2 linked regions of the Daphnia pulex genome follow. The protein of the gene in region 2 binds, or shares a complex with, the protein of the main gene of each other region. Links are inferred from orthologs where the notes say so. Each region holds a gene or a part of one and is shown on either strand. Other genes may lie near its edges. The genes, in order: N-alpha-acetyltransferase 38, NatC auxiliary subunit-like; N-alpha-acetyltransferase 35, NatC auxiliary subunit-like.

What was found.
Region 1: N-alpha-acetyltransferase 35, NatC auxiliary subunit-like (region 2) and N-alpha-acetyltransferase 38, NatC auxiliary subunit-like share a complex: the UniProt entries of both Drosophila melanogaster proteins name them as parts of the N-terminal acetyltransferase C (NatC) complex. The link is inferred for Daphnia pulex from reciprocal best matches to the Drosophila melanogaster genes Naa35 and Sbat.

What each region holds. Positions count from the first base shown.
Region 1 is NC_060019.1:7,926,666-7,929,431, forward strand, and holds N-alpha-acetyltransferase 38, NatC auxiliary subunit-like, read left to right. Parts: upstream 1-1,546; 5' UTR 1,547-1,582; coding exon 1,583-1,666; intron 1,667-1,738; coding exon 1,739-1,895; intron 1,896-1,956; coding exon 1,957-2,069; 3' UTR 2,070-2,155; downstream 2,156-2,766. Other genes in the region: type IV pilus biogenesis and competence protein PilQ-like, read right to left, coding at 1-259, 330-385, 549-566; RNA polymerase-associated protein Rtf1-like, read right to left, coding at 2,237-2,340, 2,403-2,766. UniProt on the Drosophila melanogaster protein: Auxiliary component of the N-terminal acetyltransferase C (NatC) complex which catalyzes acetylation of N-terminal methionine residues. May have an accessory function in the survival motor neuron (SMN) complex.
Region 2 is NC_060021.1:6,739,734-6,744,042, forward strand, and holds the start of N-alpha-acetyltransferase 35, NatC auxiliary subunit-like, read left to right. Parts: upstream 1-1,243; 5' UTR 1,244-1,361; coding exon 1,362-1,431; intron 1,432-1,495; coding exon 1,496-1,693; intron 1,694-1,755; coding exon 1,756-1,933; intron 1,934-1,990; coding exon 1,991-2,168; intron 2,169-2,231; coding exon 2,232-2,427; intron 2,428-2,496; coding exon 2,497-2,681; intron 2,682-2,744; coding exon 2,745-3,095; intron 3,096-3,162; coding exon 3,163-3,341; intron 3,342-3,672; coding exon 3,673-3,928; intron 3,929-4,309. Other genes in the region: phosphotriesterase-related protein-like, read right to left, coding at 1-189, 252-416, 478-987, 1,060-1,111. UniProt on the Drosophila melanogaster protein: Auxillary component of the N-terminal acetyltransferase C (NatC) complex which catalyzes acetylation of N-terminal methionine residues.

The sequences.
Region 1 (2,766 bases), on a different chromosome or scaffold from region 2:
GGATTGCTGGGCGGATGATGCTGCTGCTGCTGCGGGGTTGATGGTGATGCAAGAGCAGATCTGCTGGGTAGTGGCCGGAGCAGATGCGCCTCCGCCAAGGAGAGAAGAGCTGCCGCTGGACACTGGTCGGGATTGTTCAGCGGTAAAGGCCGGTCTTTGCTGCTCCAGGGCCGGGCTGCTCTGCTGGGCTTGGGCGACGTACGACGGCAATTGGCTGCCCATCATTCCGCTTCCGGATTGAGGTCCTTGGCTGGAAGATCTATAACATAAATAACATTGAATGACGCAAGACTCTCCAAGTATAAAATGGAATTAAAGTTCAAACTCACTGAGACAAGTATTGGCCGGAGCAGGAAGCAGCCAACATGGCGCAGATCATAACGACCTAAATAATTAAGACAAAACATTTTTGTAAATAAATGAAGTATTTCAAGCGACTCGTAATGTCAAAAATAAAAGATTAAAAAAAAAAAAAACTCGACTTAAATTTAGAGAAACATGGAAATAACATTTAAATAAAAGGAAATTTTAAAAGTTTTAATACTTACAGTTTTGAAGGTATTCATGATGAAGTAGTAGGAATTGGAGTGCTGTTGACTGGAGAACTTGCAAAGGTGAAGTGAGTGTCTTCCAAAGAAATCGCAGGCCTTTAAATAGTCCAGTTCCAGGTAGACGGACAAATCAGCTGGAATTGAATTAACGGTTACTATGCGGAGGAGGGAAAGTCAAATATGAAAACTGACCTAGTTCAAAGGTGAAATTGTTCACCTGCTTTCCCACATCGCATTGTGCTGGTCACAACCAAACCAAGGTTAACAATCGCGTCCCCTTCGACCTATTTTTTAAAATTACTTTAAAGCCCCTTCCGCTCTTCTTCGTTCAGACAAACATGTTTTTCACAGTGGCCTATCAACAATCTTCTGCCAATCCCTTTTCGTGTTTCTTTTTTTTTTAAAGCAAGGTCGGAAAATCTAAAAGGGTCATAAAATTAAAAACAGGTAAGGTCTTGGCTGTTGCTATGTTGATTTCTTTCGTATGAAATGGGAAATTTAATTTTTTACAATCGTGACTGGCTGACTGTATTTTTTTTCATAGTTAAGTACAGAAAATATTGTTTCGTCTCAAACATTGCTTGATCCTTGATTTCGAAGGAACTTGTTGAGTAATAAAACAAAGTACTAGTTGTGCGGTAACATCACACAAAAACAGTGTAGGGATTAACGATTGCACCTCTGACAGCCACTTAAGCTGTTTAGCACGTTAAGCTCCATCATAATTCATGGGCACTATCATCTGAAATTTGCTTATCACCTAGACGCAATGATGAGGGACAATTGCTACCAAGTCGATTTATTCATATTACATTAAATAAAAAAGTCAAAAAATTCCTTTTTATTATAATACAAAGGACCCTAAGGATTTTATTAATTTATCCTATACACAACCGGTTTCCCTTATTTATACTCCTGATATAAGATGTCAAAAAACTTGTAAAATGTTTTTTTTTTAATTTCGTTTAAAATTCGCGCTACTTAAACGCCATCTCTGTTGCGATACCCTAAATGCGTGGAAATGAGGGAAAATGGACGGTCTGTCAAAGCTCGAAAACATTGAAATGGTTGATATTTCGAAGGAGTCATCAAAAGAAAAGGAACTTACTATGAAAGTACGTTCAGAAGTTATTCTTTCTTAGTCTTAAATGCTCATCACAACACCAATTTCATTTATTTTGCAAAAGGTTAAATCTCCCGGAAGGTTGAAACTGGAATCTTGGCTCAACGCTGTTATGAAAATAGAGATTGAAGACGGTCGCACCTTGATTGGGCAGTTTTTGTGCACAGACAGAGACTGCAACATAATTCTTGGATCCTGTTATGAGTACCCTCCTCCAGATGGTAAAACAAGTTTTGACTTAACATTATGATTGCAGTGACTAGAAACAGTTAACACAAACAGATAATGCTGCTGAAGAGCCACGTGTATTAGGATTGGCAATGGTGCCAGGGAAGTATATTGTTTCAATCTCAGTTGATGATCTGATGGTACACAACTCTCCATATATTACATGACATCAGCCAGGTTGTGTATTGGCTTAATGTGTATACATGCTTAACACTATCAGAGGAATACAAAGTTGATTTGTTTGTCAGTTCAATTGCTTCATCCTGACTGTTAAGATTTTAATTTATTAGTCTTTTATGCTTTTAAGTCAATGTGAGTAAAGGGAGCTCCTAGTTCAAATTAATCCACGCTTTTTCTTATAATCTTCTAAGTTGAGGGAACGACGAGGGGCTTCTTTCAGGTTTGCCACAGGTTTTGGAGTGACAGCAACTGGTTGAGCTGTAATCAAAAATAGAAAATTAAAATGTCAACTGAATTCTTGATTATTTTAGTTAACTTACATTGAAGAGGGACTTCTAAATCTATTTTTATATCAAAATCGTGTGCAGAAAATAGATCACTAGTTTTTGGCTTTGCAACCAGTTTAGCTTTGTCTTTCGAATCAGTTCTGCCTTCATTATTGGCAGTTGCCGACTGACTTTCAGTTTTAATTACTGGGGCAAGAGGGTCGGGTCCAGGCGGAATTCCATCGGCATTAGGACGGTAACCTCCTGACTTTCCGGGCCTAGTGCTTCTCCGTGTGAACGGATCTTCGGTTTTCTGTCCTCCACTGGCTCGAATCTCCTCAAGAATGGCTTCTTCTGCTCTCTCTACATTGCGCTTGCGATTACGTTCATTGATGAACGAAATAGATGAGAGCGTTGT
Region 2 (4,309 bases):
ATATCAGAAGTTTATCTCCGTAGCCTTCAACAATCAGCTGATAAAGGCGATTTATTCGTTGCGCATCGCTAGGCATGTCAATCTGGCCGTTCAGTTGATAGTGTGAGCACTCGACACCAAACAGATCAAACTCCAAGTATGAACCCATGGCAGCGAAATCAAATACATGTTCGTCCTGAATCAAAGTTCCTATAATAAAATGTGTTTAGAATAAGATAATATTGTGAGAAAATAACTTGAAAAAATGTTACTGTCTAAATGACATAGAGACACTTGATCCGCCTTCCCTCCCGCCTCTAGAAAATGTCTGAGAACTTGAGCAGGCGACGCTGGATTCCGTCCCGGATGAATGGAAACTGGGCACTTGAGTTCATTTTGAACTATAGCGGCGGCTTCTAAAACGCGCTTTTCAAAATCTAATAACAAGTAATTATTATTTCAAATCGTTTCTCTTTAATAGTAATTTGTAGTTCGTACTGTGAATGGGATAAGAGCATCCGATTTCTCCGATTAGCCCGCATCTTATCGCGGGTGCTTCTAGGCATCCTTCGGTCTGTTCTGTTCGCATTACTTCAGCCAGTTTCTCGATGGGCTCAACAAAAAGCTTGGAATCCTGTGAAGCTGCTACATAGTATCCAGTTCCAGCTATGATGTTGATTCCAGTAAGAAGACTCACATCATAGAGAAACTGTGCCTTTCGAGAAATTCCATGAGTAGTACATTCTACAATTGAGCCCCCACCAACTGAATGATAGTGCTTCATTTCAGCAATAATGGCTTGCTCACACTCAGTGCCATTCAGATGGAGGTTTGGTTGATGGCTGTATGGGTTATAACGGATCCAGCCCAAAGTTTCCATGGAAAATGGCAATGTAGATTTATGAACATCAGTTTCAATAGGTTTAACAAAAGCAACATCAAAATTCATTGATAAATGCTCATGAACCATTGTTTTTCCTAGAGCTGAAGGAGGTATAACTCCTGTGACTGTTTAAATACAGCAAACATTCACCATTTATGTATAATTAGCTATCTTAAATTTGTTAAGTGTTCACCAACCTGTTTGAACTTTTCCAGAAAGTGATAAATTATTTATAGGAATAACCTCCATTTCATTTATGCGTAGAGAAAATCTGAAACACCAATAATAGTGATACACTGATACGATTCAATAGAGCTAAATTCTTTTTGACGTTTAAACTAATGTAAACATTGCAAACAATAGGTATGTTATGTTTGTCACGGTCGCTAGGTGGCTACCAACGATCAGCTGGTCCGCGGAATCGACAGGACCTTTTTGAGGAAGTTATTTTGTTGGTATTTTTTGTTCTTTTAATTCCTTCGGGATTTTAGAATTTAAAATGGCCCGTCCTCCTGAAGTTGTATATTCTTGGACAGATATAACCAGTGATTTCAAAGCTTCAGTCAAAGGTAAATTGTGTACCACAACTTTGCCCATGTTGATCAGTCGTAAACCCTCACATGCTCTCTCTAGACTTGGAATTGGGAGAATTAGCCCATGATGACTTGTTTGGTTTGTTTGAAGCCATGTCTGCAATTGAGATGATGGACCCCAAAATGGATGCTGGAATGCATCAGACTACCAATGGCACCAAAAAAATTCTCAGCTTTGATCAAGCTGTGAAAGCCGAGAAACTGGAACTGAAAAAAGTCAATCCCGAACAGTTTATAGGTACACAGACAATAATAATTTTTTTTTTAAATTATCTTTTGTTACCATAATTTTGTAAATAGGCATTGTTGATAACAGTATAGCCTGCCTAGTCACATGGCTTGAAGGTCACTCATTAGCTCAAACAGTGTTTATTAATCTCTATGCACAACATCCTCAAAAGATTGAAGACCGAAATTTGAAGGCCTTCATAACCATTTTTCTCAAAGTAGTTGATCTCATCAAAGACTACATCAACCAGTGAGTGTCATCTTAGTGAATGAAAATTTTGTAGTAACAAAGGATTTTTCTATTTAGAGCATCAGTGTTTGAAGAGGAAGACTTTCAGCCTTTGGTTTATGGATTCAAACTAGCATCTGATGTTCCAGAAGCAAAAGCTTTAGCCTTAATCAAAGAAAGTGAAGAAGATTTGATGAAAGAAATTAAAAATTTTTCACCCTCAAGTTCATCAATTGAGGAATCCCAGGAAATGAAGGTACTCAGCCATTTATTATCAGTTTCAGATTATTATTGCAAATTTACCATTTCTATTATGTAGGAGATTAGCGCAGTCCATACCCGATTACGTTTCTTTCGGCATTTCTATCAACTGTTATTGAAATTTAATCGTCGAGAATCACCTAATGCAACTGTTAATGCCAACTCATTAATTGAAGACATCCTAAAATCTACCCATGTTTGTCGCGAAGCCTTAAACTCATGTTTACAGACGATCTCTCTAGGCTCAGGATACGGTAATTATATTATATAAACTTACTTCGTCGTTTTCCCTTGGAATCCAATTTGTTACTTCTTTTGAACAGGAGCCGACGAAATTGAAATTATGGGATTTGAGCCTCAAGTTAACCAACGGCTCTTACCACCCACATTTCCACGATATACCCAACTGCGTTCTCGAACTGATGCCATCAACAATTTAATCCAGTTAATGGACCGCTTGAAAGCAATGTGTAAAATCAAAGATCACACGAATTTCCATTCTGCTTTGGTAAATTATCTTTTAGACATTCTTTTCAAAAGGGAGTTTCCAACACAGTTATTCTTTGTTTAGGATTTTTTCTATAACATCGGCCGACAGCGGCCACCACCTTGCGTGTTGTCCCGGTCATTGTTACAGCTTCTCTATATCCCGCTATGCAACCGAGTATTTGGTCAGCAACCCCTGACAGAAGTTCTTCAAGAAGCAGCCCGGATATTCATCGCACCACCTGCATTGACTGGCGGCTTGGGTTTGGTTGCTGGTACTCAGCAGCACAATCAGGTTCAAGAGTGTATCGACCAGCTGTTCCAACAATGTGTTCGACCGATGGGCTCCTTGGTTCAAATTGCTGGCCATAATTTAGCTCGCCAACGGGATAAATTCGGACATATTTTGCAAGATCTAGCTGCTCTCCAGGAAGAAGTAATATTGCACTTTTCAACTTAAATGGGCTTTACCCAATAATTAATTGTGTTCCCCCTCTTGCAAGGCTGACAAAGTGGATGCATATCTGCATACAATCTCCCTGCAGACGGACAGCGGGCGTTCTCACTTGGCCTGCCTCGGTACTTGGGTCCTTTTGCACACGCTACGGACAATGATTCAGTATTTGTTCTCTGGATTCGAGCTCTCTCTGTACAGCGTCTACGAGTATCATTACATCTTTTGGTACGTATCGATCATAGTAGTAATCGGCCAAAGGGAAACTTCATTAGCGGCTCCGTGAGAGCTTGAGATTGATTTTTCCCGTTTATGGATGAGTTGTTAATTTATGTGTGTGGCTCATGCTGATAGTTTCGCTTTGGGGGGTTTTCCTTTCTTCATTTACACAACTTTTGTACAAAGTAGGAGGAGGATTATAAAGAAAGAGAGGCCAAACTAACGGTTTCCACACACACACCGCGGTTGAGTGCCCCCTGTCTAGTCATAAATATGGGATGAATGTTTCCGATGTTCCGGTCGAATCGTTTATTTTGGTTTTTTCGTATTCGTGTGCTAGGTATCTCTACGAATTTCTCTACGGATGGCTGATATCGGCTTACAACCGAGCCGATTCTTTTTTGACGGAGCATCAGTCGATGGCCGAATATCTGAAGAGCAAAGGCAAGGCGGCTAACGCTACCAACAAGAAAGGAGGTCAGAGTGGCAACGGCAAGAACAAGAAGAAGAAGGAACGTAGCGCTACCGCTCGACCCTACGCCAAGGAAATTGCCTATTGCCAAGCCGTCCAGTCTATGTGTGGGGGCTATTATAAGGTAAAGATGGCCAACTCACGGTCCATCGTCCCCGTTTCTTCCTTTTTGCCCAGCATTGTAAATCTACCCGCATGCCTTATAAGGAATGACATAACTCTTGCACTTATCCCTAAAGCTGCGGATGCTCCTTTTTTCTCCATCAAATAAAAAAGAAAAAATCAGAGACAAACAAACAACACACGTAACATGGGTACAGTATACAGTTACGTGTACCCTATGCGTGACCCAGTCTGCTGTGGTGGTTATAATCTTTGGACTTTATTTTTGTTTGTTTCTTTGGCTGAGAGAAAAAGGTGAAGGTATCCCACTGTTTCTTGTGGGTGGTTTGGAAATATGGTAAAATTCCTTTCTCGAAATGTGAATATTACTGCGCTCTTTTTC